Linked DNA regions of Tamandua tetradactyla. The protein of the gene in region 1 binds, or shares a complex with, the protein of each later gene. Links are inferred from orthologs where the notes say so. Each region holds a gene or a part of one and is shown on either strand. Other genes may lie near its edges. The genes, in order: FGFR2 and FGF8.

Evidence for each region.
Region 2: the proteins of FGFR2 (region 1) and FGF8 are in contact, whole or in part, in a crystal structure (PDB 2FDB), measured with the Homo sapiens proteins. The link is inferred for Tamandua tetradactyla from reciprocal best matches to the Homo sapiens genes FGFR2 and FGF8. Residues at the interface, in NP_000132.3 of Homo sapiens: Glu160, Lys161, Glu163, Lys164, Leu166, His167, Ala168, Val169, Pro170, Asn173, Asp247, Val249, Arg251, Ser252, Ser282, Asp283, Ala284, Gln285, Pro286, His287, Ile288, Gln289, Ile291, His293, Leu309, Val311, Leu312, Lys313, Ala314, Ala315; in NP_149354.1 of Homo sapiens: His53, Val54, Gln57, Asp62, Leu64, Ser65, Arg66, Leu68, Ile69, Arg70, Tyr72, Tyr75, Arg77, Gly80, His82, Val106, Glu107, Thr108, Thr110, Phe111, Gly112, Ser113, Val115, Thr148, Glu149, Ile150, Val151, Leu152, Glu153, Asn154.

Annotation. Positions count from the first base shown.
Region 1 is NC_135339.1:84,188,841-84,204,556, reverse strand, and holds the start of FGFR2 (fibroblast growth factor receptor 2), read left to right. Parts: upstream 1-9,678; 5' UTR 9,679-10,089; intron 10,090-12,414; exon of another isoform or gene 12,415-13,393; intron 13,394-14,067; 5' UTR 14,068-14,160; coding exon 14,161-14,326; intron 14,327-15,716. UniProt on the Homo sapiens protein: Tyrosine-protein kinase that acts as a cell-surface receptor for fibroblast growth factors and plays an essential role in the regulation of cell proliferation, differentiation, migration and apoptosis, and in the regulation of embryonic development.
Region 2 is NC_135339.1:63,455,871-63,471,703, reverse strand, and holds FGF8 (fibroblast growth factor 8), read left to right. Parts: upstream 1-8,434; coding exon 8,435-8,466; intron 8,467-8,595; coding exon 8,596-8,632; intron 8,633-9,494; coding exon 9,495-9,675; intron 9,676-10,434; exon of another isoform or gene 10,435-10,805; intron 10,806-12,819; coding exon 12,820-12,926; intron 12,927-13,812; coding exon 13,813-14,103; downstream 14,104-15,833. UniProt on the Homo sapiens protein: Plays an important role in the regulation of embryonic development, cell proliferation, cell differentiation and cell migration. Required for normal brain, eye, ear and limb development during embryogenesis.

The DNA.
Region 1 (15,716 bases):
AAGGCCTAGCTCCTGAAGTAAGGCTAACAGATGTCTTAATTCCTCTCAAGAAGCACACACTGGATTTTTTTTTTTTTTACAAAGAAAATGAATGTATCTTCTCCTTTTACTCAAAGGACTGGACAGAAGGGAATTTAAAGCAAATGATGCCTCAGGTGGCTAAAATGAAGAATCTGCTGACTGTTAAGGTGAGTCAACATTGGAATGATTTTCTAGGAGAATTAGAGAGTATTTGTAGAAGAAAGTCAGCAAGTACTTTGCCCTTAATGGCTTAAAAAGCTACCAGCATCAAGATTCTTAGAGGTGAATCTTGAAGAGGCTACCTCCAATATGGTGGCCTATAAATGAGGAGATGGAGGCTCAGAGGGGCTGAGTAACTTGCCCAAGGTCACACAGCAAAGGGAGGAAGAAGGAAATGGGCAGATTAGGATAGGGCTACAGACAAGGAGAGTCTAACCGTTAGCCTAGAAATAAGACCAGTTAACATGTATTGATGATTCACCATAAGCCAAACACTTTCCCTGAAGCTTCCCATTTAATCCGCACACAAACCCTGTTAGGTGTTAGTATCGTTCCATTTTACAGATGGGCTATGGTAAGAAGTGGTAGAGGGAAGACCCACTGCAGGCAGCTAGACTCCGGATCTGAGGTCTTATCCCACCCCAGGACAGCAGGACATGCAACCTGCAGACCCAAAGGCCAGCACTGGCCCAGTGTCTTTAAAAAAAGTGCCGACGTCTAAAAATTGGAGCAGTTGCCATAATCTGGGTGGGCAGCTTCTCTTGAAAGAGCAGAAGGATCTCCCTGTTGGCCTCTGTTCTGCTTCTGGACCCCACGGCGCCCTTGATAGTTCTTTCACTGGCAGTCCCCAAGGCAAAGGCATCGGCTAGCAACTCAGGCTCCTTCCCAAAACTGCTGTGTGACCTGGGCAACCACAGTGCTTCCAGGTGCCAATTTGTAAAACAGGGTCACGGTGGTGCTACCGTGACCAACACCCTTGTGATTTCAAGGTGATTCTCCACTAAAGGCCGTGATCACAGTTGCCTGGAGCATAGAAAGTACCCAATAAATGTCAGCTGCCAAGCACCTACTGTGTATTAAGGGGACAGTTGCTATGACTCCTGCAAGTGGAGGTCATCCAGGCTCTCAGGTATGGAGGTGAAAGAGCAGGGCCGTGGTCCCCAGCTCCAGGCAGGGTGGCTGGCAGAGAGCAGAGACCCAAGGCAGAAGCTGCCCTGGAATCCTAAAAGCCCTGATTCAGGACAGCGGCTGTGATGCTAGGGGAAAATATAAATCGAAAAGGATGGGTTGGGGCGGGCGGATTGGCTTTCCAAAGAGGAAGACTGAAGACTGGGCATTAATTGGCTTTAATGGCAATGGAGCCCATATCCTCTGGTCTGGAGGGCAGCAGTCCAGGAGGAAATGGGGCCAGAAGTCCAAATGGAGTGGAGGGCAGAAAGTGGAAGCCAGTTTAGGGGTGAGGGTGCAAAGGTGGTTCTCAGTCTTGTTTGTCGACCCAGTTGGAGAGATGCCAACACAAGCTGGAAATGAGGGGCCCACGTTTCAGGGAGGATGCTTGGCTGTGGACAGGATGGAAGCACCAGGCAGGAGCGCCAAGCTCGGCTGGAGGCCGCTCCCACTTCACACCCCGTCTGGCAGGATGTGGAGCCCCAAACTGCCGCTGCTCCAGCTGCTGGGGCAAGATCCGTCCAGCTGTGTCTCAGCCAGCACCTGGGATCTGCAGTAGACACACCTCAACCTCGTCGCTCATCACCTGCACTGCCAGAAGGGCTTCGGGGCTGAGGCTGGGGGCGGGCGGGACGCGCTCTCCACCCGCCTTTTGCGCGCGCAGGAACGGCCGCGGCCACACGGGGGCGCTGGCGCCCGCCGCCCACGCCTCCCTGCTCAGAGCCCAGAGAACAAAGGAGCCCCGGGCTCCGCCGCCCTCACCTGGAGCCACCTGCGTCCCGGGCGGCCAGGCCTGAATCCGGACCCCGCGAAGGAGTTAATTTTTGCTCAGCGCTGCTCTTAGAAATCTGTTAAAGAAATTCCCTCCTCCCCCAACCCCTCCTGCCGTGGCCTTTCTCTCTAGCTTGGGGACAGAATACAGGAGCGCTGGGACTCTAAAAGGCTTACTGGGTTTGTGGTTTTACGATTTGTCCTGTTCAGTTTTCTCCGACTCCTTCCCCGAGTTGACCAGGATGCTGGCAGCATCGTTTTCCCTCCCCTTAGGTTTATTAAAGTGAACTCATGTTTTGGTCGAAGTAGACACACACTCGGGAATTAGTAACAGAACAAGGACAGAAACTAAGAGCAGAGAGGGGGGAAAACAAGGCATTGCAGGGAAAAGTAACCAAGTCGGTCCTGCCCAAGAATGGCCTTTCCCCCTAGCTTCTAAATGCCCCTCATCAATGGTGGACAAAATGCTAGGAATAAGATGGGTCCCTGGGCCAGGTAAGCCCTGAAACCTAATGGTCCCAGCCTCTCCAGAACATCAGCTAGTTCCATCTCCCTACCCCACAGAGTAGAAGTAAAAACCTAAAATTGAGGAATTGTAACTCATCCCAAACTCTGAAATCTGTTCTACAACTAATTGTTGTGCTGTGCTTTGAAATTTATTGCTTTTTTTGTATATATGTTATTTTTCACAAAAAAGGAAAAAGAAAAGTAGATTGTGATGATAAAAAAATATTTATTCCTTCTAGTCTCCTATATTCTTGGAGCAGCTAGAAGGAAATATGTGAGAGGATGGCATGGTAGCCCATGACAAACTGGGATCTCTGGGATCTGTCATATAACTACTTATTGAAGAGCGCTTTGAAAACTACTACTTTTTTCTTTCTATGCTTTGTAGATAGGTTATATTATACAATTTAAAAAGTTAAAACAAAAATTCCTAGGAATAATGTGCTGCCTTGCACTAACCCTTGAAGTAGAAAACCTCTAATGATGCTAAGTTACAATTTGTCAATCAACAGATATGGCCTGTTATATACAAATGCAGATCAATAAACTGCCAAGCATGTGCCAGGTCTCGGGCATCCAGGAGTGGGAGACACAGGTGGGGACTTCCTGGGTGTTAACATTTAACATCCCCCCCAATTAATCCTTCCCCCAAGGTCATTTTATACTGGGTTTTCTCCAGGGCCATGCCTGCCTTTCTCTCAGTGGGTTCAGGAGCCTGGCTGAGTGTTCCCGAGGCGACTGAAATCCCCCCCGAGATGAATTCAGAGCCAACGGAGATTTCCACAGAGAACAGGGGAGCTGCATCAAGTAGGCCCCAGACTCAGAAGGTGATGCGGCAGGCTGAGTCGCTGAATTGGTTCATTTGAGGAAGGCTAAATGTTGCATTTGTTAAAGATCTGTCAATGCATCTGCAGTGTCCCCCTGGGCTGGTCTCTCTTCTCCCTCCGCAGTAAGCACTGGGAGCGGCCTTGGAGCGGTCAGAGATGGTGAGAAAATGGGCGTTGGGGGCAGGAGGCAGGGGCAGCCCCTGGACTCCTCTGTTTGAGGGGGTTCTGGGGGAGGAATGCATTGAGCCTGGCTAGTTGGAAAGAAGAGGAAGGCGGGTGGGGGTGGGGGGCACTCTGCAGCGCCGTCCAAGAGAACGCTGTGGCGGCGAAAATCTTCCGTCTGCGCTGTCCAATGCAGCAGCCACGTGTGGGTGTCATACTAGAAATGCAGCTGGTATGACTGAGAACCTGAGATTATATCTAATCTTGACTAACTTAAATTTAAATAGTCTCACTGGCTGGTGGCGTTGGACCTGAGTTGGATAGCGCAGGTCCAGGCAGTGATGGTGATGGGGTGGGAAGCAGGGGTACAGTGGAAGGTCATCCCTCATCCTTAACCTCTGCCCAAATTGCCCCCACGCTGGCTAAAACCATGTGCCTATTTTCTCTGCAGCCTGCTGGGAGGCCGAGTCGTGGAGGGTGGGGGCGGGGGAGTCCTGGAGGCCAGCAGTGACATGCCATAAATTGCCTTAAACAGCAACAGGCCGGGGATGAGAGGACTTTTCCGGTAGATCCCGTTACCGGGAGCTGAGGGGTCAATAGCAGAGAGCCTAGGCTATGGTTTCAGAGTACTTGAAAGTAGACGGTGGCTTCCTGTAGCACCAGGTACACCACTCAGTGATGGGTGAATGACAACTTGATGGGTGAATGACAACTTCACAGCTTCTTTAGACCATGCCAGGGAGGCAGGGACTGTTCAGAGATGGTGGGGGTGGGGAGTGTTGGAGATCATAGATAAATGTATTTTTAAAGCTTAAAGACATGCCATCTGGCCATTCTGGCCAACCAGGGAATTGACTGATCAGTTTTCCTTGATCTGTTCAGGTTGGCAGATGCCAAGTGCCAAAGCGCAGAACTGGCGCCATGGCCGTGAGAGGAGGCGGAGCGAGGGGGCAGCGGTGAGGCTGAGTCCACGCTGTTGCGTGCCAGCGGGGTTTCCCCCAACTTTTTTTTCTTTTATGAAATTATTCAAACATTTGAAAAAGTTCAAAGAATAATGCAACACCCACCACCTAGTTTCAACAGTTAACATTTTGCCTGATGTGCTTTATCTAAGTGTTTCTGCCTTTTTTTTCTGAACCACTTGAAATTAAATTAAGTGTTTTGACAGGGATTTGGTTTCCTACAAAACCAAAGTGTCATGATCTTACATCAATAAATTAACAGCAATCTCTGATAATATCCAGTCCATGTAAAATGTTTTCCAACTACCCTTGCACATCCACCCCCTCTCCCTCAAACACTATCTTTTATAGGGATTTTGCTTTTTATGAATCAGGATGCAATTGAGTTTCCTATACTGCCTCTGGCTATGTCCATCCATTGCATTAAAACAAACAGAAAAACAGGTCTGATGGTAATTGTTAAATGAAACCTTAGGAGTTTTTAAGAATATCCTATTTCCATTTACTTTTACAATACCATTGATAAGAATCATTCTGTGATCCATGAGTGTGGGCTGTTAATTCTTGCACTATTTTGAAAGCTATGAAAATTTAGCTGATGAAATTGTAGGTGTGAAAAAGAGGGGTCTAACAATTTTATGCTCCTGAACCTGAAGGTTCTTTGAAACATGAACAATAATAACTCTGTTTCAGTTTCCTAGCTGCTAAAACAAATACCATACAGTGGGTTGGTTTACCAAAAGGAATCTATTGGCTAGAAGGTGTCTTCTGCCTGGCAGTCTTTGGGGTTCCTTGGCTTTTCCGTCACATGCCAGTGCACATGGCGATGTCTTTTCCTTTTTCCTCTGGGTTCTGTCGGCTTCTGGCTTCTGTTCCCTGTGGCGTCTCGGTCCCTCTGACTTTTTACTCTGTTTATAAAGGACTCCAGCAATCCTCATTAAAGCTGCCCCTGATCCAGTGGGGCCCCACCTTAACTCAAGTAACATCTTGAAGACCTCTTATTCACAATGGGTCCCAACCCACCCTAATGCCAGCCAAGACTAAGAACATATCCACACTAGAGCACACAGTTCCATCCACCACAAGTTCTAACTTGAATTCTTTTCGCAGCACCTAAAGAGACAAATGTAGGCTGAATTGACTGTGACTGAGTAGTTGTGTTCTGGAAATATTAACATTTTTGGAGGCCAAGAATTCTACTCAAATATCTCAGTTCCACACAGAGTTGAACCTAGAAAGAGCCAACCACCCCCACCCCCGGCATGGGTGAGAGTGTTTGGCTTGCCCTGGTGGCCTCTGGAATAAACCCCAGCTTGGTCAGCAGACCAGACTCCTGGGTCCCCTGCCATTAACTAGTGGGTGGCCTGGTGCCCCTCACTTCTCTCTGTGCCCTGCTCTCTTCCCTGTAAAATGTAGGGGACAAATCAAACGGTCTTTAGGATTCAACACACACTTCCTCATGGTGGGACCCATCTCCTTCTGAAGACCTCCCTGTGTCACTCAGGTCCCTTGGAAAGCTAGTGAGCTGTCAGCATGGGCCATAGTGGCCCTTTCTGTTCAGATGTTCCTCGCAGTTTTAAGGAAGCTCTTCCTTTGGTGCTAACTATGTTCACCAGTGTGAAAAGCATATTCTCAGCATGACCTGCTCTGTCCTCATCACCAGCCCCAGGACTGCTCTGGGGAGCAGAGGATACCCGATGTAATGCCTTAACTGTGTTTGGCCATGGCTGCATGGCTTCTCTGGTGCTACCTCCTTAGACATCCATTCAGATGACTCAGACCGCCTTCCTAGGACGCAACCTCAGGTGGGCCTCTGCTGGGCACCCCAGGCCTTTTGCTGTGGGATGCAGCAGTAAAGGTGACTGCAAAATACCAACCAGGAATTATGGTGCTAACAGGCCTTTCACTTAAGCATTTTCCTTTCATGGTCCTGGGAAGTGGGGATAATGATAGTAAGTGCTAGGCTCTGCTTTAAGTGTTTGTCACCTCCTAACTCATTTAATCCTTTAGTAACCCTATGAGCTAGGTACTATCAGTGTCCTCACTTTATGGGTGAGAAAATGGAAGGCTCAGAGGACTTCAGCAAGTTGCCCAAAGTCACAGAGCTAGAGTGTCTGGAGCCTTGAAGCCTCTCACCTTAAGGAAGCAATGCCCTCTTGACTCAAAGCGAGATTCATCCAGGAGGACTTTCTCTCCAGGGAAGTTTTGGCTTTGATTCAGGTACAGTTCTAGGTTTAGGCTCACTGATGTTCAGTGGTGGAATTGATGTTTTTGCCTCGGTTACATGTCACAAGCTTCCTGGAAATGGCCTGTGCCTTCTGGGATCTGGCCCCTTCCCTCTTCCAGAGGGAAGTCCTGGCAATCCTATATCCCTCCTCTCTGCATCTTCCATGCCAGGGATGCCAGTGCACACAGCTGAGAGGTACTTGGAAGAATGCAGTCCCTAGTTTTGCCACGTCCAAATGCTCGGACGTTAGCATTTCAATGTCAGTTGCTTTTATTCATCTAACTTTCCTATAGGGTGTAGGGATAGCCACCCATTAACAAACAAATTATTAAAAGAAAAAATCCGAATCATTAAAGCAGAGGAGCCCGTGGCAGCAAAGTTCCCCACCCCCTTCCTTCTTTTCTCTTCTCTTCACCAGTGGGCTAGAAGCACAATTGGCTTCTTGAAACTTATGGGGCATTGGAGTTCTGGTATCCTCATTTTCCTTCCTTCCCATTGATGTATCATTACTACGGTGAAAAAAAGAAGGGCTTCTCGAGGGCTTTTGAAAAAAAAAAAAAGGGTGCCTACTCAAGACATTTTGTAAAGGGGGGAAAATTGTGAAGAAAAGGGGCCTCGGCAGGGGGTGGAGGGGTTGTGAATGTGGCCTTGTCTGGCCGTTCTTTCAGCTGAAACCTGGTGCCGGGCGTTCGTAGTTCAGTTCAAACTGTCACCTTTAGTTCTTGATGGTTTTCTGCCCTCGCCCCTGAACCTCAACAGATTGGGGCTTATTTACCTATTCACACTCGGCCGTGCAAGCTCATTAATAGGCTTATTAGCAACACCATTCACGGGAGGCCATTGACAAAAGGGGTTCCAGCCACTTGAAGAGGGAAGAGAAAAAAAAAAACTGTAAAGAGATTATTTTCTCATTCAGAAGCCTCGCTGGTGTGAAAGCTTGCCTGGACCCTCTGAGGTCACTTGAAGCCTAAATATGATGACAGAATTGATTTAAAAAAAAAAATTCCAAACATGCTTTTGCTTTTCTCAAAACTGAAGAGTTTGCCATTGCGAGCTCCGCACACTTAAAAATGAGCGCTCTCAGGAGAATAAGGGGCTTTGATGGATTGGTGTCCTTTCATCCCTATAAAGAATAAATTCTGAAAACTGGACCTGGACATTAAAGTAGGTGTTCTTATTTGTCATTTTCAGCGGAAGGCTTCCTTTCCATTCAGCGTACATAAAGCTAGTGATGAATGGGGATAGGTACTAGGCTTCCTGCACCATTAATTTATGTGAGAATGTGTTAACAGCATTTTCAATGGCTGATGGCTGTGTTGCAGGATGGGAAAGGAATCTGTCCGAGACACTCGAGTTTCCCATTGGCGGGGAATAGAAAGATATAAGTGCCAGCTCCCAGTAAGCATGTATTCAGCCCCATCTCTTTTGTGATTCCAGGTCTGAGAAGCTGAAAATGCATTGGTGTGGTCAGTGACGCATGGCTCTGCAGTCTTGGTCGTGAAAAGCTTCTAGAACTGACCCAGGATAGAGAGCGTTACCAAAAATATACCCCGCCCATCAAGCATGATCATTTTGCTTGAGAGTCAGACTACTATTTTTACTGATAAATTTCCAAAATATCATTCCATAGCTCTTTGCCTGTAGCATTTAAACGGACTCATTACTCCTGGCTTTTAAGAAATTTATGTAAAAGTTTTCTATGATGTATTGTGAATAAAAATGATATTCGAATGATATGGCACCTTGAAAAACTATTTTTGCTAATGTTGTGAAGTATGTGATGTTAGTGACATTTTTGCATTTTTACGTGCAAGAACAGTCGATTTTCCAGGTCAGTTTGTTATTATCTATCTTTAGGCCTCAAAAGCATTCTAAAACACCTCTTGGTTTAATGACCTTTTCTAAAGAAATATAATTGAGGTTTTATCTACAGTGTATTGAACTGGAGCTCGACTGCTTAGAAGCTGGATGAGTGAGGAGGGACGGAAAGTATAATAGAAAATGAATTATTCTGAAGACATAGCCTAGTGAAAGAGGCAAATGGAAAATATGAACTTTAATGAGTAACTGCTTGGTATCTGAACAATCTGATTTTGCAGTTGAATTTAAGTACAGAGAAGGAATTAAATTGTTCAAGGTCATATAGTCACTTATGGCAGAGTTCAGTCTTTAGAAACTTTTAAATTATTTTCACTAATCCAAATGTACATTACTAAGCAACAAATGCTTCGGTGCAGTTTTCCCACTTTTTAAAATAGCGCCAGATTCAAAGTCAGGCTCTGCCAGTAACCAGCTGTGTGTCCCTGGGCAAATTACTTAACCTCTCTGACCCATGTTTCCTCATCAGAAACTGGGCATACTACTATGCTGGGTGGTTGTGCAGATTAAATAAGATAACCTACTAACCCACTATGTGCCTGGCACACAGTAGGGTCTCCACAAATATCAGTTTCTTCTATTGTTTTGAAGGACAGAAATGCAACGCCCTGCAAACAGTTTCAAGTTGTTTCCTCCAAAAGTTTCAGTTGCACTAAACTTCCACCCCCGATAGTCCCATTTTCAAGTCCATTTAGGGGCAGAGCAGGCATTGTGCCATTTGTTGTCTGGTGTGCAATAATACTTAATGAACCCCCCCCCCCCCCGACAAGCAAACCGTTGGGCACTTTAACTCCCGAGGGAAGGAAGGAGGAGAGGGCGCAGGGCGCGGGAGTCAGGCCTTATTAATGGGGCGTATTGTAGCAGTTCTCCGTGCAGCTCGTGGCCGCGTCCCTCGCCTTCCCGGCCGGGGTCTGCGGGCCGCTGGCAGGCGTCGGGCGCAGCGCGGGGCGCGGGGCTCGGGGCGGCCGGGTAGAGCGGCGCTGATTGGCAGAGCGGACGCCGCCGTCCAGGAAACGGCTCGGGTTTCAGCGGGGGGCGTGACCCGCCGGAGGAGGCGGCGGCGGCGGCGGCGGGCGGAGGTGGCAGCGGAGAGCGCCGTGGAGAGCCGAGCCGGGCGGCCGGGCTGGCTGGCGGGCGAGCGCGGCGGCCGCACAAAGCTCGGGGCGCCGGGGGTTCTGCGGGCGGCGTACCTGGCCCAGCGCGGCGACTCGGTTTCAGGCTGGCGGGGCCCGGACGCGAGCCCCGGGGACTCGAGGCCGCAGCTTTCCTGCGCGTTCTGACTGTTCGCGAGTGGCGAGCAAAGTTTGGTCGAGGAGACGCCAAGCCCGAGTCCTTTCTTCCTCTCGCTCCCCAAATCCGAGGGCAGCCCGCGGGCGTCATGCCCGTCCTCTTCCGCAGCCTGGGGTGCGCCTGAAGCCTGGGAGCTTTGACGCCGGCGAGGACCCGAGGACGACTTTGTTTTTGGAATTTCCCCTGAGGGGTCCCCGAGCTCGTCGTTTGCTCCGTCCCGACCCACTTCGGCCGCGGGGAACGAGCAGATCGCGAAGGAGGAGCGTGGCCATTCAAGGTAATCGCGGAGCGGGGCACCCGGGCAGCCTCGCCAGCGGGGAAAGTGGGCGCCGTGGGAGCCCGGGGCGTCGGGTGCACTGACCCCCGGAGGAGGGTGCGGGAGACCTGGCGTTGGGGAGGGCGTCCCCTGTCCCACCTCTGGCTGCCCAGATGATGGGGAAGGAGGTTACGTGCTCACGGCCGGCGTTTGCGAACTTCTGTCTCCAGCACCCCCACCCAAAGGGTTGGCATCTACCGCTGGCGTTGACATCGCCCCCCCGTGTCAGTCTCCCGCGGGCTCAGTCCCGCCGGCCGGGTGGGTTCCTCCGACCGCAGAGAGGGCGTGTGGGATGGGCGGGCGGCGGGGCCGCCTTTCTGGGGGCACGGTCCAGGGGGCCTGGAGGGGCATCTTCGGAGACCCTCACCGCAAGGCTTGGGGAGCGCCCTCCCTGTCCCATCCAGATTCAGGCAAGGGACCCGTTCCCTGGGAGGGCGCCGCTGGGGTGGGGCTGCCACTTCCCCGAGGTGATGGCGATGCCTCGGCTGAGGAGCACCTCAGGATAAGGGGCGGGGGCTACTCCGGTTCCGCGATCTTGGTGCCGGGCCCCCCTCGGCCGCAGCCGCCGCCGGCGCTGGTGCCTCGGGTGTACGGATGAGGGCTGGGAGGGAGCGCAGCGCGCCCGGGGCTAGGGGGCGGACTGGACCGACTTTTTCTAGTTCGCCTGCAGCCGCGCGGAGATGTCGAAAGCGCAGGCGAGTTTTAACTTGCGCGCTCATTCTTTCAGCGGTCGGGCCGCGCTGGGGAGTCCAGCCCAGGGCTCCGCGAGGCGCGGGCCGGCGCCCTGCGCAAGGGACTCGGGCGCGCGGGACCACGAGCCTTCCCCGCGCCCCCCCCGCAGCCGGCTCCCGGGCGAACCCTTCCCGGGGTCTTCCTTCCTCTGGGCCAGATCTCTAAAACCGACCCTTAAAGCCGAAGCTGCTTTCAAACCCGAGGCTCTCATTATGTGTTTGGTGTGAAACGCTATCAACATTTAAAACCCCATTGTCCCCCCCGGGTCCCAAATCCCTGTAAATCTTCCACCAGCCTCGACTCATTTTCATCTGAAAAGCCTGTTTAGTTTGAATAGAAAAGCAATCAGGCGCCCCTCTCCCTCTCCCTGGAATGTCAATTAAAATGCAGATTTCTCTGAGCTCTTTAGCTGCGGAGAAAGGGGGGAGAAAAAACAGGATATTCCAGGCAAACAAATGAAAGAAATGCTACCATGAACCGGGGTGTCGGTGGTGCGCACCCCGAAGCTGCCAGCCAGTTCTCACTGTCTTGCAGGGAGAAGATTGCTGCCGTGTATCAGCCTGTATATTTTGTTTTTGAGATTTCAGTGTTGTGTGTTGAGGAATTCCCTCTCCCTGTTCCATGTCTGCAGATGTTACACCTTACCCAGCGTCCTCCCGTTCTCAGCTCTGGAGGGAAAGGAGGGCAGTGCTGAGACTTACACTAGGGAATGGGTCTTCCTCTGGGGGTGCGGGCCCCCACCCTGGTGGGGCAGTGTTCATTTTCCAGGTGAGACGGCTCCCCTGAACAAAGCACCCGAGTTGCTCAGCAAGGGGACTGCCAGTGGTGGACAGGTCAGTTAGGTCACTTAGGTCCTTTAGGTGGAAGCCCAGAGAACGCCGGCCCCTGGCATTGGCCCTCCTTCTGGGGGTGGAGGGCTTGGGATTGTGGGAAGTTGAACTGGAGCTGCAGGCCCACCGGGGACCTCTCCCCAGCCCGTTTCTCACTGCAGGTCAGTTTGCCTGTCTTTTGGGGTCAAGCTTGTGCAGAGGTGAAAACGGACTAGGGGAGCGGGTGGCAGTGAAGAGCCATCCATCAGAGGGAGGGTGACAACTCCTCCCGCGCAGGCTGAGAATAGAGTTCCCTTTCAAGGGGAAAAATAAACACGCTGGGGCTTTCACTGGGGCTCAGACTCCAGGAAGGATTACGGTATTGTAGGCAGGAAGCCGGGATTGTGGCAGCCAGCGGCATGCTGGGCCTGTGTTCCCAACACCAAGCCTCGGGACCTAATTATCCTGCCTAGGAGGTCGTGCCATACTCTGTCCACTCCGGTGAGGGGCTGCGGGAACCTGCCGCCTAAGGGCCCAGCCGTCCTGAGAGGTGGGGACAGCCAGCTGCGGGGCCCGGACCTGGAAATGCCGCAGTTTGGATTTCTGGTGGAAACTGGTGGGCGAGTGAGTCGTGAGTTCAGGTTTGACCTGGGGCACTGTCCACTCCTCCTCCCCCCCAGGGCTAAGGAGGCTCTTTTGGGAAGGCGCAGGGTTAGGGGTAGGGTGGGTTGAGGTGCAATCTCCTGTTAGGAGTTAAAGCTGTTCATAAAGTTGCATTGGAAGAGGAAATTCTCATGTACTCTGCAATTGATCAGTAAATTGGTGAGAATGTTTGCATTCTTTCCTCCCACATGTATGTAGAAATAGACACAGAATTATCTTTTGAGGCTTTAAGAGGAAAGAAATATCCTTCAAGGATCTGAAAACACAGCGTGTACGTACACTTTTCTTGCTTTTCCTGTAAATTCCTGTTTCATACGTATTTTCTTTGAAGCAGAGGTTTTCTTTATCCCCCACTCCCTTTGGACATTGTGTGCCATCCTCTTTGCCCTCACCCAGTTTTAATCCTCAGTCAAGGCTAAAAGGAGCAGTTTCTATGGTGTAGCTTTGGGAAATGCTCAGGCAGTGTTGAAATTCTGTGTCATAACTTGAAGCATTAAGTCAGCATGTAACACGGGGCAAGGCACGAGGTTTAGTGATTTTATGGTTTAGGAATTTTATATTACAAGCCACCCCCACCCCAGTCTTATAAAATGAAATTAATTCACGCAGTTCATGGAATTTGCAGACTGAGGTTATTGTACCCTTTCTTTGTGATGGTTTTAATCAGATTCTCCAAAGTTCATGCATTTCGACTGTACACTTAGTCATTGAGGATATCGAACGAACTTAAAGTTATCTGGAATATTTTAAGTTCGCTTTGAAATTTGTCTTCGCCTTTTAAAAACTTGGAACAAGTGGGTGAACAAAAATACTAAGTTGAGCGCCCCCTTGGAACTCTACTCTGTAATTTTAGCCAGTGGTTAGCATATTGAAAGATACTGCCCCAATCACATACATGCCAATAATTTGCATATCATCATCATCATTTTAAATAAACTCTCCCATTATTCACCTGGAAACCGGAGTTTGCATCTGCTCTGTTTCTTAACTGTGTACTAGGCCTGAGGCTAGTGGAAGGGGATTCGGTCTTCGAATCCCATTTTGGATCGGCTGCTTTGAATGTATTGATTGCAGTTCCTTTCATTCTTCCTAAGAGGCTGTTTGGCGAGGGATTGAAATACACTTGCACATTTGAAAATGAATCCTGACAAGTGTACATTGGTGGGAATTTTTTTTTTTTTTTTTGCAGCCTTCCTGGGATGAGCTTTTTTTTTTTTTTTTTTCTGGTCTCCTTTCCTCCTGGGCACCACCCTGAGGGGGTCAGAGCTCTGAGCTGCAGCCCAGCAGAAACACCCAGGTCTAAGCAGGTGCCTGGTGGGCTCGGCTTTCGAAAGCCTGGTCAGACCGAGAGAAGTTAACGAGGCCGCTTCTGCAGCCCCAGCATTTTTAACCTGCTTTTGTAGTTGCCCTTGAAACTAAGGTCACATTGCTTCTGCGTTTTGAGGGCGATAGAGGTGATAGTGGACAGTGAAGGAAGCACATTTTACCTGACGGGAGTGGCCGCCTGTCCTTTTTTATCTGATGTTTTTTGAAAGACCAGCTTAAGGCATTTTGCCCAGGGGGCTTGTGGAAACACCTGGGGAACCTGAAGCCAGGAGGCATTTGCAGATAATGAAAAATGACTTAGTTTTCACATGTTCGAGAGGCTCTGGGAAACCCTGTTTGAGCCCCCTCGGGTTTAAGTGAACTGGCTCTGGGGAAGATTTCACTGACTCGCCGCGTCTCTTTCCTCTAGTGGTCGCAGCAGCAGCGGCCGCCGCCTGGTTCCGGAGCCCCCCGCGGGCCGAAGGCGTCGCTGGCGGTCCATGCCCGCAGAGGCCGGGTGCAGATGGGATTGACGTCCACATGGAGATACGGAAGAGGACCGGGGCTCGGCACCGTGGCCATGGTCAGCTGGGGTCGCTTGGTCTGCCTGGCCGTGGTCACCATGGCAACCGTTTCCCTGGCCCGGCCCTCCTTCAATTTAGTTGAGGATACCACCTTCGAGCCGGAAGGTCAGTCATTTCATTTCGCTTTTCAGGGTACCAGGTTCGTCTGGGGATTTGTCCGTTTGCAAGTGGCATTTACGGACTAAGGCCCGCTTTGGAATCGGCTGCCCTTGTGTTGTCCGGGAGTCTTCTGAGTACAGTTGAGAGTGACCTCTTCACCAGCACCCCCCAGCTCCCCCCACCCAAATCCTAGATTACCTGAGAGATTTCCTTGCTGCAGCAGTGCAGGCAGGATGGTGTAGTTTGGTGGTTTTTTGATGTGTGTGTTTCTCTGTGCTGGGTGAGGGAAGCGGTGCCCAGGAGAGCTGCGGAGAAGGAACTTGTCTGCAGATGAATGCCGTCTGTAGCTGCCTGCAGTAGCCTTCCTGCTGGAGGAGAATCTGAAGAATTGCTCTTTTTTTTTTTTTTTTTTTTGACAAAAGGAACCATTAAAAGAAATTGCCAACCTCTGACATGCTGACATTTTCTTTTCATTGTCTAAAGAGATAAAGAAGCTTCTGAAGTTTGGTACAGAGATGCTTGGTATTATATTAGACTTTTTTTTCTTAAGCTATTATAGTTCCTAATACTTAAGCAGTGGTCACAGCCACAGATTCTACTTAGGTAAATTAGAATATATAGATACCACAGTATTACCCACATCTATTCGAACTTTCAGATCTAACAGGGTGTGTGTTGGTGTTTCCAGCTTTGGAAATTTAATTTGAAAGCCTGAGGCCCATCGTGAGGTCCCAGGGAGACTGAATTGTGTAGCTGGGCAGATTTGGAACCTCACTCTCAGGTCCTTCTGAGACCACGTTAGCCAAGTCTCTACTTGGTGCAGCATTGAAATCTGTCATCAGTTGGAAATATTGATAGCTGAGTTATTTTTCGAGTGGTAATCCGAGAATCAAACGGCAGATCCCAGCACTCATCGCCACTTAATGAACCTGTTTGCTGAGAGCCCACCTGGTACTCGCCTGACTTCGGGAGCCCACCGCGTTCCTGAGTGGTCTGGGGTCAGCCTGCCTCTTCTGGGAACTCCCCCTGGGCAGGGGTGAGTGAGCAGCAGGCTGACCCAGGAGGGCAGGCTGGAAGAGGAGGGAAAGTGCCGCCTCCTTAGCATGGCCAGGGCAGAGCGGGAGGGAGGGCTGTGTTCCCACGGCTGCTGAGAGCTCTGAGACTGGTGGGCTCCCCCCACTGAAGACCCCCATGCGTGAGACATTAAAGGATGAGGACAGATCTTTTTCTGCATGGCGACACTCATCACCTAAAGCCATCGTATGGGTGAGACTGCTGCACTTTTCGTTTATTACGCAGAGGCACGGAAGCTTTATAATTAACAGGTGGGGTGGCAGCACCCAGGCTTCCGCAGCTCGGGAAGGGAGTCTGGTAGGAGTTTGTTTGACGTTTTTAC
Region 2 (15,833 bases), about 21 Mb from region 1:
TAAAACATGAAATGAATGTGTGTGGTGGTGTACTGTGTGAACCTGTTTTTGCCCTCTACCCCTTGGGTCCTTCATGCCTTGGCAAGAAGTAGGCATTTCTCTTCTGCAGCTATTCCAGTTTTGGGACTGTATCTTGAAGGCAGGCTTCCCCACTCCCATCCTCAGTAAAGGGCTCCCAGTTTTTCCTCAAGCAACGGGCAAAAACTGAGGAAGGCCCCATGTAGTTCCTGACCAAACTACCCTCTAGAATTATTATTTGGGTGTGAAATAGGGCAGCTAATTTGAGAGTTGTCTGCTATCTAATAGAATGAGGAACACAGTCTGGTTCTTTTCGTCAGAATGTAAAAAAAAAAAGTGGGGAGGAGAAAACCGCATTGAATGAGAAGAATTCAAAAGGGAGTGGTGTGCCTGGGTTGTGTGGGAATCAAAGACCATGTAAAGGGTAGGTAAGCCCGTAGGAACAATTAGTCCCTCACCTGAGCTAACCGTGCTGCTAGCAAGGCCAACAACTGAAGCATATCTACAAGAGGTTTAAACTGAGAGGGCTGAGCATTCGGGTGGAAATCAGTGGAGTCTTCCCTCAGTCTCTGGGACAAAGGCCATGTGCAAATCTGTGAATGCATTTCCTTTGCTTTGATAAGAACTTGGGCTATCTTGACACCCCCTTTGCTAGGGGAGGAAGTAAGAAAGATTTCTATTTTTGTATCCCACCTTTAATGTGAACTTACTCGGTTAGAAGAGTGGGAACGCTACAAAGGGTGCCAGGAGCTGGAAAAAAAGGATACAGGAAGCCACCCTCAAGAGAGCCTTAGTTCTAGAAATAAGCACGGACGACAACGTTGTCTCCAAACCTATGCTTTGTGATGTCCCTCCCTCTTAGGTCTTTAAACAGAGGTCTGAGTAGGTAGCGTAGGTTCCTGGGCGGAAAAGCTATCGACCAGGCTGAAGACAGCTTCTCCTTTAAAAGGCGGGGCCGGAACTGGTAGACAGTCCCTTGTTTTATACGTGTCAGGGGCGGGGCTTGAAGACGGTCCTTGCTGCAAGGTCGCTGGCACTGCCGCCTTAGCGTTCCTAGGCCGGGAGATCCGATCTCGGACTGGGGTTGTCGGGAGTCTGCGGGTCCCGGTCACTATGGACAGTTTTTTCTTCGGTAATGAGGAAAGGAGGGCATGAGGGTGGTGCTAGGGTGGGCTCGGTAAGCGTCAGAGATGAACAGGAATCTAGTTGGATGCACAACGTGGGTGGGGGTGGAGGGGTGGCTTGCCGTACTCCCAGGAGGCGGGGTCCCGCACACTGCCGCTTAGGCGGAAGTGGGCAATGGGGTGCCTACCCTAGATGTGCCGTGTGGGGTGGGGCCTAGGATCGAGCGCCCCAGTCGATGGCAGCACATGACGGAGGGTCGGTAAAACTCTTCCCCTGCAATACCCCCCCCCCGCCCCCCACTCATACACTGTCATCACTCCCAGGCTGTGAGCTCTCCGGCCGCACCCGCTCCTTCAAGGTAGAGGAAGAGGATGATGCGGAACATGTGCTGGCATTGACCATGGTGAGGGGAGGGGACGAGGGAGGGGACGGCGTAGGAGAATAGCTGGGCCTGGGCAGGCACCGGGTGGGTCTTTATACATGTTCTTTTTACTGGGAGTCGCCTCATCTGATTGAGCCCCCCATGGACGGCTCCCCTGGCCAGGTGATTTAGGAACATCAGGCTGGGCAAGTTCAAGGATTCCTCCACGTGTGGTGTCAACCAGCCCTTGAGGAGAAGCTGAGGCCCTGTGTACCCTTCCCAGCTCTGCCTCACTGAGGGAGCCAAGGATGAGTTTAATGTGGTGGAAGTCGTGGCCCGGAACCATGACAATGAGGAGATTGCAGTCCCTGTGGCCAACCTCAAGTTGTCTTGCCAACCCATGGTGAGTTCCTCAGTCAGACCCAGGGGAGGAGGATTGAGCTTCAGGACTCACAAGGTAGTTGGGGGAGGAGTGGGCCAGGCTCTTATCCTTGTCTTTTTCCCTAGCTCAGCCTCAATGATTTTCAGCTCCAACCACCTGTAACCTTCCGCCTGAAGTCTGGCTCTGGCCCTGTGCGTATCACTGGGCGACACCAGATTGGTGAGAGTATGGGGAGGCCCACTCCTTTGCCTTCTCTGCCTCCAGCCTACTCTCAGGACTCCCCCAACCCCATACGTCTGCCCCATTCCAGCTTTACCTCTTAATGCAGCCCCACCTATGTGCCCACCCCACCTCTCCCCAGGCCATGCCCCCTGTATGATGTGTCCTCCACACTTTTCTGTCCAACTCAAGCCTACCTCCTTCAAGAAATCTTCCCAGCTTCTTCAGCTCCAGTAATGGCTCTTGTTCATCAGTTTAGTATCTGAGGTTCTTCCTATCTAGGCCATAAGCTCTGGGAGATCAGGGTCCTTGTAAGCCTAGCACCACAGGATGTACAATTAAAAAATGTCAAGTAAAAGACACGTGATGTGAAGGTGCTCTGGCTTCAGCTTTCTCTCCCCTCACGTCCACTTATTGCTTGTGTGCCTACCAGTTACTATAAGCAATGACATTTCTGAGGAGGAGGAGAGTGTGGAAGAGGAGAATGAGGAGGAGACTGAGTTGTACCCCATCCTGCCTGCCAAGAAGCAGAGGGGCAGGCCCTAGTCCTCTTTGGTGAGTGGGGGAGAAGCTCAGGGATGGTGCCTGGGGTTTGGGGAGGGGACAGAAGGAACAGGTGAGAGCCTAGATGTTGACCCCTTGACTGCTCTCCTCAGGTCAGCGATCTACCTGCTACATGTGCCATGCACCATGTTCCTTGACAAGTCTCAAGAATTTTAAATATTTCTTCTCCATTGAAGAGAAGGGTTTGGAGCCTGGGGTGAGGGGAAACTTGGGCCAGTGCTAGGAGAGAAAGGGGCCCATTCTCCCTAGTCCTACATCCCCTTTTTCCAGGGATGGGAGGAACTCTGAATTTCCATCCTAATCCACTCTCTGCCTCTTCCCATGAGTGTTGGAGGTCAGTAGCTGAAGCTCAGAACTACACATTTTTGACAATTTTTACATTTTTGGATAAAGATTGGAATAAAGTGCTGTGGGACTTTTTGCAGATCACTTGTGTGGCTTCTTCCTGGACTGGAGTGACATTCCCCCGGAGACCACCAGGTGGCACTGTGGCAGCGCGGAGGGTGGTCCTGGGCTTGGGAGAGGGTGGAGAAATGTGGGATCCTGCTATCCCGAGGGCCCAGGCTTTGCTAGAAGGGGACCTCCCAACACCCAGACTGTTCCCAGCCTCTGCAGGTGGGGGAGGGCCAACTCAGGAGGTTATCAGCATCCAAACAAGGGGTCTGGGCCTCTGTCAGCACTCAAACTGATGGGCAGGGGGGCAGATAAGGGGGCTTAAGCTGGCTGAGGAATGTGCATCCCTAGCCCCATGAAGGGGCACAGGCTCCAAGAGGGCCTGTGAGGGATCGGGTGGGGGCCAGTCCTTGCTCCTTCAAGACTTGCAGGCAGTCTCTGAGCTGGCCTGGGCCCTTAGAAACATGATTCCTAGGGCCAGATGGAGGGGCCTGGCCAGATTGGGTGACAAGGAAACCAGAATCCGGGTGGCCTGGCATATGGGGGCAGAGGGCCCCCCTGGGAACCTGTCTCCTGAGCTAAAGGGTTCCTGCCCCCAGCACATCACCTAGTCTGGGGGTCTCTGGTTCCCAGAATCAGGTAATTCTGAGACCTGGTTGCCAGCCTAAGTGTATATTTGACCAGCTCTGGGGTCAGCAGTTCAGCATCTGTGCTGAGGGGTAAGGTAGGGGGAGCGATAATGCCCCACCAACAAACAAACAAAGGTTACTTCCTGAGACAGCCAGGGGCCAGACAAGCTGAAGATGGACAGAGAGCAGGTCTGGTGGGAACCAGGCAGGCTCTGCATCCACTGCTGGAAGAAGTGAGTGGACAAGTGGGAGGGGACCCAGATATTGGGGGGGGGATGGGTATTGGGGTAGGTGGGGTCAATTTAGGAGGTAGTGTCCTCACTACACGGAAAAGTATTCCCTTTTCAATATGCATCCCTGGAAAAGGAGATGCTTTCCCCGGTTTGTGATGAGGAGCGTGCAGGGGGTGGGGTGCGGGGGGTATCCAATTTTCAACCACCCTTTGAGGACAAAAGAAGACCCCTTTCTTTGTGTAGCGGTGATTAGGGTTCCAGGTTACTCACAACTCCATGAGGAGTTCCCGAAGTGCTTCCACCAGGGAGCCAGGTTGGAGCAGGAGAGAGGCGCGTTCGGAACCGTTCGCCTCTGGACGACAAAGCGTGGGGAGAGGAGAAGGAGCTAGCGCCCTCTGGTGGGCATGGCCGAACCGCGGATAGGTCGCGGGTGGTAGTGCGATTCCGCACGCAGTCTCGGGCTCTGGAGGTGGGCGGTGGAGCAGGAGTATACGTGGCCGGCGAGGGATCCGGGCCTCCAAGTTTTAAGCAGAAGGCGAGGGAATGAGTCACTGAGGCTAAGTCATTCATTCATTCATCCATTCATTCATTCCTGGGAAGAGAGAGAGCTCGCTTTAGAGTAGGGGAATCAGGAGGCAGTGTTCAAGCAGTTCCCTTCCTCCTCCCGGCTCCATCCTCCAAACTCCTCGCACGGTTCTTGGTAGGAAGCACTGGAGTCTGGCTTGAGTACAGTGAAAAGTAATCTCTATGGGCAAGCCTCCCAAGCAGACCCATTTACCCCCGGCGCGTAGCTCCGCCCCAATATTTACCCCCCACCGTGCCGCTGATCGCTCATTGTATTTCTCTTACTGTTTGCTTGGTCTGTCTCTCCCCGGGCTCCGGCCGGCGCCGAGCGTGCTCCTGCCCGCAGTGGGGGCCCAATCCACATCTGTCTCTCGGTTCTGGAGTTTCACCGGCCAATCGGACTCCCCGTGGACTGAGCTGGGACTTGTTTCTTCTCTCTCCTTGTCCCGCGCTTCTCCTCTACCTCTTTTTTCTATCCCCCCCACCCCAGCACACAGTAGGAGTGCTGCCAATTCGTTTTGGCCTCAGAGCGCTGGGAGCTGAAGGCACAAGCTGGGGCTTGCTGACCCATATTTGGGGGCTACAGGGGGGCTCCCGACTGGGGCCCGAAGTGCTTAACACAGTTTAGGAGATTTGCATTTGAACGGTGGGCAGAGTCCGCGGCGCTTTGAACGCCGGGCGCAGGAGGCGCGCTTTACAGCGAGCGGCAGTGGGGGCGGCAGTCGGGGCCGCCCGCGCCGGCTGGTGTGGATTTGAGGAGCGAGAGGGGGCGAGGTGGGGCGGGGGCGAGGGGTGCGTTTGGAAAGGGGTTGAAGGCATGTGTTTGGGTCCCGGCGAGGGCGTGTTTGCGGAGGAGCTGTTTGTGTTGGCGAGGAGCGTGTGTTTGTGTTTGGAGGCAAGGTGGGGGAGTGAGTGTGTGTGTGTGTTTGTGTTTGCGGAGTGTGGGGGCGGCCTCCAGGGAAGGTGGCCAGGCTGTCACTCAGCGATCAGGTTGACAGGCGCTCCCTCATCAGGGCCCAGGAGCTCTGATTGCAGATTCGAGGAAACAAAATAGCAATTGTAATTACGGGGCTTTGATAAGATAAAGGAAGGAGCGAGCTGGCCGGGAGGCGAGCGAGTGAGCGGACTAGGGAGGGAGAGAGCGGCCTGCGGGGGCCCCGGCGAAACATTTGCATCTGTCAGTCACGGGGCTCTGCCCGGGCAGAACCGGGCGCCTGCTGCGGGGGTATCCCCATCTGTCTCTACAGAACGGGACTTTTGGGGAGATGAGAGGAAGCCCCCCAAATTGACAATTAATGGGAACAGGGGTCCAGTTTGTGGGAGAGTCTCCAAATGTAAAGGATTTCTGGTCCTGCAGGGGCCCCTTGGCAGAGGTTAAGGTGGAGGATTGAAACCCCGACCTCAGCCCCTTCAGCCTGTGATGTCCATCTCGGGGGGGGGGGGGGGGGGGGGGGGGGGGGAGAGGGGGGAGAGGGGAGTGAAGATCATTGAGGTTCAGTCTTGGTCTCTTCTGACTTTTCTGGAGGGGAGAACCAGGGCTGAAGGCTGGTCTGTGCCAGGTACTCTGAAGGCTGGTCTGTGTCCTACCCGGACCCCACCTCAGGAAAGAGCAGGTGCCTGGAATGGTCCTGGCTGGGACCCCAAGACCATGTATGCTGAGGACAGACTGGCCTCCCTAACCCCTGCCTGTATTCTGTTTCTTGCTCTTCCCGCCAAACTATTTTCAGAGAGCTAGGTCCACAGTGAGGAGACGGTCCTTTCCTTTCAGGAAGTATCCACAGTCCTGCTCTCTATCCACTCCACTCATTGATTCATTCAGTCATTCATTAATATATACAAATAAATATATATTGTTTAAAGTATATATACAAACTTTCTGAAGGCCTACTATGTGCAGAATACAAGATTAAGATGGTGAGCAAACAGATGCCATCCCTGCCCTCTTAGGTCTCACGTTAGAGTGCAGAAGGGGAGGCAGACAGTTAACAAGTCACCACACAGGCCTCTAAGACCTTGAAAACACTGAAAAGCACAACGAAGGAAAAGGGACGCCTGGGGCCGTGAGCACCTGGAACCTGCCTGACCTATCTCCTCCCTGATGGACCCCTCTCCCAGGGTTTGAGAGGATGAGAGCAAACAGCAAGCATGCCAAACTTTTAGCAGGTATAAATGCTCGAAAAATGATGGTGCTTACAATTATTCTCTATTGGGGGTGGGGGTGGGGGAGCCGGAGGCAGGCCTCCCTGGGAAAGTTGCATATGGGCAGAAGTCTAACAGCACAGCTAGTTTCCCCATTATTCATTCATTCATTCATTCATTTGTTCATTCATTCAGCAAACACTGACTGTAGAACAACTTTGCCCAGTTCTTTGCTACTAGAGTAAGTTCTAAGTTAGTAGGCAAGAGCCAGCTGAGTGAACAGGGGTGACAACAGATGGGCTTAGGGGGTCTACTGAGGAGGGATGAGAACTTGGGACAAGCCTTCTGACTCTGTTTTCCCATCTATATATTATTCAGTGTTTGCATTTATGGCTGGAAGTGGGGAAAGGTGGGGTAGTGAAAGGGGTGGTAGGCAGAATTTGGCTGAGCTACTGGATAAGAGCTGTCAGTCACTTCTGCCATCTAATGGCTTCCTGGGACTACCCCCACCTTCTCCAGCTCTACTCCCAAGGGCATGGGGGACAGTGGGGAGAGAGAGGTCGTGGGTGAAGGCAGCAACTGGGCAGGGCACCTGTGGCTTTACCTGCTCCTCAGAAGTACCTGTCCCAGGGCACCTCTGCCCACTCTGGCTGCTCCCACAGAAGCAGTGGGCCTCAAGGTTTCCAGAAGTCCCTGAGGGAAGTAATGAGGTGGAGGACAGGGAAAGAGTTAGACAAGCCCCTTTACCCCCTTTAGTACCAATTTCCAGTTGATACAGTGCATAACGGGTGCCCAGCCCAGGAAAAGCAGCTGAAAGCAGTTATTTTGGTCCCCTCTACCTGCTGGTTTGGGTATCCGGCTGCTGTGCACCTCTGCCAGGGACTTCTGGGCAACCCCTTCTGTGCTGGGGGGTGGGGGAGGGCGAGTGGGGCTTGCTTAGACAATGAACGAGACAGGCGAGACTCACGGGGTCTCAGCAGAAGGGTGCGAGGAGCGGTTCCCCCATTGCACACACACGCACTGCCCGAGAGACGGGCGTGCAGCATCGCTCCCAGGGGACAGGCCCTGCCGGAGCACACAGTAGGTGGTTCAGAGACTGGCCGCGCAGCCAGAGGCATCTGCGGACCGGACGTCCCGGCGGAGACCTGGCAGACCCCGCGGTCTAGGAAACCCGGGTCGAGGGTCTCGGAGCCCCATGGAGCGGACGGCTAGAGGCATGCCGCATCCCCGCGTGTCCAGGCCCGAAGAGCGCGCGAAGGGACAGACCTGGGATGGGGGGTAGGGGGGAGGTGCCCACATGGGCCGCCCCTACCCCTCCCGCGGGTCCCCAGACCCCTCCCCTGGCCCAGACCCCCAATCCCCAACCCGCCGGCCGCCCCGCCCCGGCCCGCCCCGCCTCCGCCCGGGGCTGTGTCCCGGCCCCAGCTCCCAGCCGGGGGCTGCGGGCTCCCGCCGCCTGCCCCGCGCTCCCCCCTCGCCCCCGGTGCGGCGCCCCCCGCCCCCACCCCTCCCCCTCCTTTCCCACCTACCCACCCACTCCGCCGGCCCGTTACCCTCCCGCCTGCTCCGGCTCCTGAACAGCCTGCGGCCACCAGCTCCAACAGCCACGCAGAGCGTCTCAGCGCGGCACAGCGCGGCGCGGCGAACGCGACATTCCACGGGACCCGCGGAGCCGCATCGGGATCGCGGCTGGTCTCCTGCACCCCAGCCTCCCTCAGCCGCTGCTACCATCCGCCCGTCCCTCCACGGCGGCGCGCGGGACGACGTGATCCCGCCCGGGCTCACCGTGCTCCCGGGGCCGCGCGCCATGGGCAGCCCCCGCTCCGCGCTGAGCTGCTTGTAAGTAGCGCCCGCGCCCCCGCAGCCCCTGCCCGGCCCGCGCCCGCCGCGCCCTCTCGGCTCACCTCGCTCACCCTGCTTCGCTCTCTCTCTCTCTCTCTTTCTCCCGCCCGCTTTTCTCACCCACAGGCTGTTGCACTTGCTGGTTCTCTGCCTCCAAGCCCAGGTAAGGAGCATTGCGCGAAGGCGGGGGCCCGGCGGGCCGGCGGGGGTCATCGGTTGGCAATGTCCGGCAGGGGCCCGAGGACAGCCCTTGCGGCCAGGGCTGCAGAGCTGGACGGAAGGAGCCTTAGAAACCAGCCTCGAGCTACCCGGAGGAGGGGAGCTAGGGAGCAGAGAGGTAGCTCCTTGCCTAACGTCACACAGCGAGTGAGTGGCGAGACTAGAATCCAGGGTTTCCGAGTCCAGCGCTGTCTCCTACGCATCCTAGCCAGGTTGGAGTGGATGGGGAAGTCTGCGGGCAGCCACACCTGGGCGCTGAGGAAGCGGGCAGCCCCGGCCGGGGGGCGTTCAGGTGTCAGGAGAAGGCCCGGCGACGGCCGCAGCGACCCTCTGAGCCATGGCCCTCGGCGGGAGACTAGGCTGGTCGAGCCGAGCGACCGGGTGCCCAGGCCCTCTGCGCGCTCAACATTTGCTTTGTAAATTTGTCTTTATAAATGTCACGGGCGAGTCGCGCTGCCTCCCTACTTAGGAGCACCCAGCTGCTCCCCTAGAAGGGCCCCCCAGTAGGGGCCTGCGCCGGGCAGGGAGCTTGCTTCCCTGCTCTGAGCTGGCTGCGAGCCCCAGGGTGTTTCCAACAGGTGGGTCCAGATCCTTCCCCATCCCAAGCTCATCCGCCCGGGCTGGGTCTGCCCCGGCTTTCCTGGGTAGGGGGAGGTGACTTGAACCCAGATGTTGGGGAGCCGGGCCCTTGCCTCGGCCTGGGGCGGTGGAAGGGGAGTGCGCAGGGGCGGGGGGGGGGGGGCACGTGGGCCCCTGGGCGGAGTAGCATTATAATGGCGTGTTGTGTATTTTTCAATTTCCTAAAGGTAACTGTTCAGTCCTCACCTAATTTTACACAGCATGTGAGGGAGCAGAGCCTGGTGACGGATCAGCTCAGCCGCCGCCTCATCCGGACCTACCAGCTCTACAGCCGCACCAGCGGGAAGCACGTGCAAGTCCTGGCCAACAAGCGCATCAACGCCATGGCGGAGGACGGCGACCCCTTCGGTAAGCGGCGCTGCCTGCGCACCACCTGCGCCTTAAGGAGAGCTAGCTGGCTAGCTCGTGGAGCATGCGCCCTGGCTGGCCTGCAGGCTCCCCAGCTCAGAAGGGAAGGAGTTAAGGCCAAAAGGTGTCCCGAGGGTCGCCTGGGGAAGGGGCCTCCGGGAACACTTGGCCCACAGGTGCCCCCTTCCCTGTCCTGCAGACGAATGAATCCAGGAATCTCCCCTTACACCCCCCCCCCCCCCCACAGCCCTCCCCAGCTGCAGGTGGAGGCAGGGGGTGCAGGGGGAGGGGGCCCAGACTTAAGGGAAGCTCTTGAAAGAGGATATGTCGCCAGAGCCCACAAAAGCAGAGCAAGAAGAAGGGAGAGAAATCTCCCCAATACTCCTAGCTTGGAAAAAGGGGGTGCTGTGAATCTCTAAATACTTGGACCAGAAGGGTCAATTACTCCTCTTTTCAGCTTGAAAAGGGGCCCTCCCTGTTCCAGTGGCTCAGGGTCCCAGACTGCTGGGACAGGGCCCGGGGCTCCCTGTGGGGCGCTGAGTGCAGGGAGCTACTGCTGGCGGAGAGGCTGAGGACTGATTGATTTCTAAAACATTCAATATTCCTGCCTTGAAACAGGGCCAATTTCCAGAGCCCTGGATGTACCAAGAGAAAAGCAAGCCCTCTGGGCGGCTGGTGTTGTTTTTAGAGAGCGATTATTGTGAGTTTAAAAACCTTTAAATAATGACCAAGTTAAACAAGCATGAAAGGAGAGGGGAAGACTCTATTAAAATGTAATAAAAAGGTGAGGCATTTTAAGAGCTAAGAAGAAAAATGAAGAATGATATAAAACAGAAAAAGAACGAGTCTTTTTTCAGATGTGGAGTTTGAAAGGAGTTGCAAGTCTGTAAATGTTAAAAAAGAGGTTCAAGATTGTTCTCTATGAATCTCTGGAGAGACCCCCGCGTCTGGCAGAGCGATTAAAACTCTTCTTACTTTCACCTTTTTTAACATTTCCTGAATACTTTCTCCTCTTCTCCAGCCAGTTTGGGGGATCGAGTATGTCTCGCTGCATTTTTTCTGCATCGACGTAGCTGACTTCCCTTCAAAGCTGGAGAAGGAGACATAATTTTCCTGGGATAAATCTGTCACTGGGGTGGAAGAATAGGTTTGAAAATGTTAAGCTTTCCAAAAGCCCAGCCGGGAAAGGCGCTGTAAACTGCGGCCCCAGCTCCCCCGATCCATCCAGGAAGGAAAGTGGGGGCTCTCTTGGGTGGGGGTGGGGGTGGGGGCGGCCAGTCCGGTGGCCGAGCTCCCCTGCTGGGCTGGCAGGGCTGGCCTGCAGTCCCTTTGTCCTTCCAAACTGGCTGCTTTGCTGCCCTTCTCAGCTTCCAAGGAAAGGAAGCGGGTGCCTGGCTTCTCCCGGGTTTGCTCCATCGGAGCAAATGGCCAGCATCACTGGGTTTCCAGGAGGGAAGGGGAGGCTAAATTGGCAGCAGGGAAATTAGTCTTCAGAAGTCTGATGCCCACTTCTCTCCCTAGAAGAATAGGAGGTTTCCCAGGTTCCTTGGTCCCCCTGCTGCAGGTGGGGAGTAGGAGCTGGAGGCCCTGAGAGTTGGAACAGAGGCTTTGGGTGGGGAGCCAGGACAGGGGGAGTGTGGGGGACAGCAGGGGCCCCAACTGCTTCTTTGCAAGTCCTGGGAAGAAACAGAGGGGGCTTATCCCGTCCCTGTTTGTCCTGCTGGGCCATAATCCTGAGTGGGATTCTCTCGTCCCTTCTCCAGTCACTGCCCTTTCTCGGCTCTTAGAAGCAGTCATTTCTTGCTCTGGAAGGCAGACTGGGAGAGGGATGAGCAGACTGGCTGGGTCCACGAGGAGGTGGGTGGGAGGGGAAGTGACAGCTGCATTTCCCTGCTGACTTGGGGCCAGACTGGGGACTTGGCCACTGGGTCCCAGCTCTGGGCCCATGTGAATGGCAGGGGGACAGGAGGTGAAGTTACAGGCTGGGCGGTAGGAGCTGCCTTGCTGTCCTAGGTGCCCGCTCCCCCATTAGTTTCAGGGAAAGAGAAGATACCACTGTCTCAATGCAGGCTGGAAAGCAGCTCTGGCCGTTGCTGGACTTTGTGGTACCAAGGACAGGAGACCCAGCCACTTCTGCCCCATGCCAGAGAGCTAACTCAGGCCCCAGTCCCTTCGTGGGACAGTGTGAAAGGGGGGAGTTGTGCAGAAAAGTGGGTGGGGACTGGGGCTTCTGTGGTAACTTGGGTGTCTGGAGAAGGGGTTAGTCTCCTGGCTTTCCAGATTGAGAGGCAAGCATGTCTGATTTCTCCCCTCCTCACCCACAGAAACACTGTTGGGGTCCACAGAAGGTGGTTGGCCACTGGGGTGAGAAGCCCAGCTGTGATGGGGGTTGCAAGAGAAAAGACTATTGAGTTGTTGATTTCTGGACACTGGAGCTGGGGACTGTGTTGGCTGGGAAGCGGTGGGGAAGGGGCAGGAGCCTCCCAGCCAGTGTCTGAGGTTCAGGAAAAGCAGCTGACCTTGGGAGACCTGTCCCCACCCCTGCCACCAGCAGAGCACAAGTGCCCAAGGAATGGGATGGCCAAGGCTAGGAGATAGAACCGAAGTGGCAGGAACAGGAGAGAGTGCTTTTACATTTGTCCTTGGGCCTGGAGGCCGCCACTGGACCCAGAATGTCTGTAACAACCTGTGAGACATGTACATGTAATATTTTGAGTTGGAAGGAAGCTCTGAGATCTTTTGATTAGCAGTGGAGCTGTGGTCAAATTAAATTTTACTTGGAGCCCCATCATAAAAATCAAGATGGTCTGACTTAAAAAGAGGATGGGAGGAATAGAACTTAGGCAGCCTTCCTGGCCCCAAGACCCCTCTGCAGAACCCAGTCTGTAAACCATGATCATGTGCAATCCCCCTTGTAAGCTGAGGCAGGTAGCTGGGGACTTAGAAAGGTGATTTGACTTTCTCAGGGTTGCACAGCCCATTTTCGTGGCTGCGCTGGGCTGGGGTCGTGTGCCTGGCCTTTTGAGCGGTAGCTGCTGGGCAATGACAAGTCTGTAAGTGAGGCTGCAGAGAGGGCCTGGATCAGTGTGGGGGTGGGAGGGGGTCAGGGACCTTCTGATAACCAGCCCCCACCTTCTCCGACAGCAAAGCTCATTGTGGAGACAGATACCTTTGGGAGCCGGGTTCGAGTCCGCGGAGCTGAGACGGGCCTCTACATCTGCATGAACAAAAAGGGGAAGCTGATCGCCAAGGTGAGGCCCTGGAAGGAAAGTGGGGCCCCTGGGACCTGGCAAGCAGGCTGGGGTGGCTGAGCTCCTCCAGGACCATCTTTTGCCTCTAATCTCAACAAAGTGGTCAGAGAGACACAGAGCCACCTTGGGGTTACCTAATGATGGGGTGGGGGGCTGGGGGAGGTGAGGGAGGGACTGCTTAAGAGATGAAAAGCTCTAAAGGCTGAAGAGGAAGAAGGAAGGCTAGGGAAGGGGCGGGGGTGGTGGTGGTAAATTCCATATATCTTTTTAACAAATCGCCAAATTGCTTTGCTATTATGTCCAATTACATGGTACCAGCATTTGGAATGTTCAGTAAGCCGCAGGCCCAGCCCCTCGGCCGAGCTCTGAAATGGCCCCATTAGTCACGGCTCCTCTCCAGCCTCGAGCTCCCCTCTTCCTGGGCTGCCGGGGCGTGGGCTCAGAGCCTCTCCGCCGGCCTCCCCTCCCCCACGGGGTGGCGGCCCTGGGGCCAGGCGACCGAGCTCCTGAAGGGGAGCCCGGGGCAGGTGGGGAGACGGGCCCTAGCAGCTCTGGCCAGACCGGTGGGCAGAGGGCCAGAGCAGGCCGCGCGCCTGGACCCCCTCTCCCTGCCTCCCCGTGTCGGGGCCCAGCCCCTGCGTAGACGACCATGTGTCACCGCCGCCCGGGAGCACAGGAAGTTGCCGGGTGGGCTGCGGGTTGTGAGGGATTAGAGAGCCCCGTGCCCGGGCAGGGGGGTGGGGCCGCGGCTCCTGCCCACCTCGCCATCTGCTGGGGTGCCCACCTGCTGTCCGGGGCCGCTGGCCCTCTGCCTCTGATAGGGGGGCTCGCTGCAGAGCCCAGTAACGCCGCGTTTGCTCCCCCCCCCCCCCCCCACTACCTGCAGAGCAACGGCAAAGGCAAGGACTGCGTGTTCACCGAGATCGTGCTGGAGAACAACTACACGGCCCTGCAGAACGCCAAGTACGAGGGCTGGTACATGGCCTTCACCCGCAAGGGCCGGCCCCGCAAGGGCTCCAAGACGCGGCAGCACCAGCGCGAGGTTCACTTCATGAAGCGGCTGCCGCGCGGCCACCACACCACCGAGCAGAGCCTGCGCTTCGAGTTCCTCAACTACCCGCCCTTCACGCGCAGCCTGCGCGGCAGCCAGAGGACTTGGGCCCCGGAGCCCCGATAGGCGCCGGCCCCGCGCCCCTCCCCAGCCCTGCGAACAACGGAGACTTTCATCTTGATGGGAGCAAAGAAAAAAAAAAAGAGAGAGAAACTCAAGCAAGATGAGATCTGCGCTGCTGAAGGCTGGGGAGGAGCCGGGGAGCCCCGGGTTCTAGTTGTTGATAATTGTTTGCTGTTGGGTTTTTTGTTTTGTTTTGTTTTTAAACAAAAGAGAGGCTCTATTTTTGTATTCCACTTGGCTGAGTTGTCTGTCTTCTTAATGCCATGAAGGCCAGTTAGTGGCCTGCCCTGGGGGCTCTTGGAGGAGGGGGGACCAGGGAAGCTTCTTTAGAGTCTAGCAGAGGGGCTCCGGAGACGGAGACGCTCTTGCACCTCAGGGCAAGCTGGCCAGGCAGCCAAGGAGTCATTGCACCTCCAAGTAGGGGCAGGGCAGAAAGGGTTGGGATTCTTCGGGACAGTTCATTTAGGGGTCAGTGTCAGTGGAGGGAGGTTGTGTAACTAGTTGCTATTAAATGACTGAAATATTTATTTAACTTGTGTATTAAAAATTTGTGTTGGAGAGTGAGAGTGAGTCCTGCTGGGGTCAGCTCCCACTTCCCTCTCCCCCATCACTTGCCCTGCCCCAGCTGGAATATCAGGTACCAGCTCCAACCACAGCCTCCTTCCAGCCTGACTAAAGGGCCCATAGCTGTCAGCTGTCCCCAATTCCCAGCATCATCATGGAGGGGTTTTCCTGGGAGAATAGAAGCAGGGAATGGGGCAAGAAGAGGCTGACTGGCTGGTCCCAGGAGCTCTCCTACAGACTTAGTAGCTCAGCAGGAATCTCTGCTCACACCTCCCCAGGCCACCTCAAGGCCAGAGGGATGCACCTGTTAGGACCCATGTGGCAAGCATAGGTTCAGCTTTTTAAGTGCCTTTCTCTGTGCTCCCCTAGGTCTCTGTAAGGCAGGTTGGAGATTCCAGGGCTGGTTCTTTCCAAGTATCAGTCTCCAGAAAATGAAAGAAAAGAGCAGCTGCCAGGGTCTAAGGTGGGTTATGTAGGAGGGGGCACTGCCAGGCTGCTGTGGAAAATTGTAATGCGGAACACCTGTTAACTTCGGGCGCTCTGGTTAGGTAGCTGTGAGCAGAAGGCCCTGAGCCCAGGTGTGGCCAATGAGCTGGTAGGCGTGAGTGTGGTCCGGAAGCTGCCTCGGGAATGAGAGCAGTTCTGAGAGCAGAACTTGAGCGGTCGTCAGAGCCTGGAGGAGAAGCAGCAGGTCACATGCCAGAAGGACAGATGAGGGAGGACAGCTCCGGAGTAGGGCAGACCAGGTCAGGCTATGGACTGGTCCACTGTAGGTGAGGGGGAGAATTTGGATGGGACAGTGAGAGGGAGACCTTACCTTACCGAGAGACCTAGTCCAGCTACTAGGCCAGTCCAGAGGTCTTGTCTGTCTGAGCCTCTGTTCTTGGGCAGCTCCTTTGGGTGGGGGGCAGCCCAAGGCTTCCTAACCATGAGGCCTCCTGAGGCTGCAGTCCCAAGTCCCAGGATGAACCCGCCTAGGCAGATCAGGAGTTCCAGAACTCAGGAAAGCCTTGGAGTAGAGAGGTTGGGGAAACCACTAGGCTTGTTCACCCCAGCTCCCTGCCCGCTGTGGCATTGAGGGGTCCTGGAGGGAGTGCATGGATTCTGGGGATGTAGGAATGGAGTCTAGACGTCCCCTTCCAGATCCCCCAATTGTTAGTGCCTTGCCT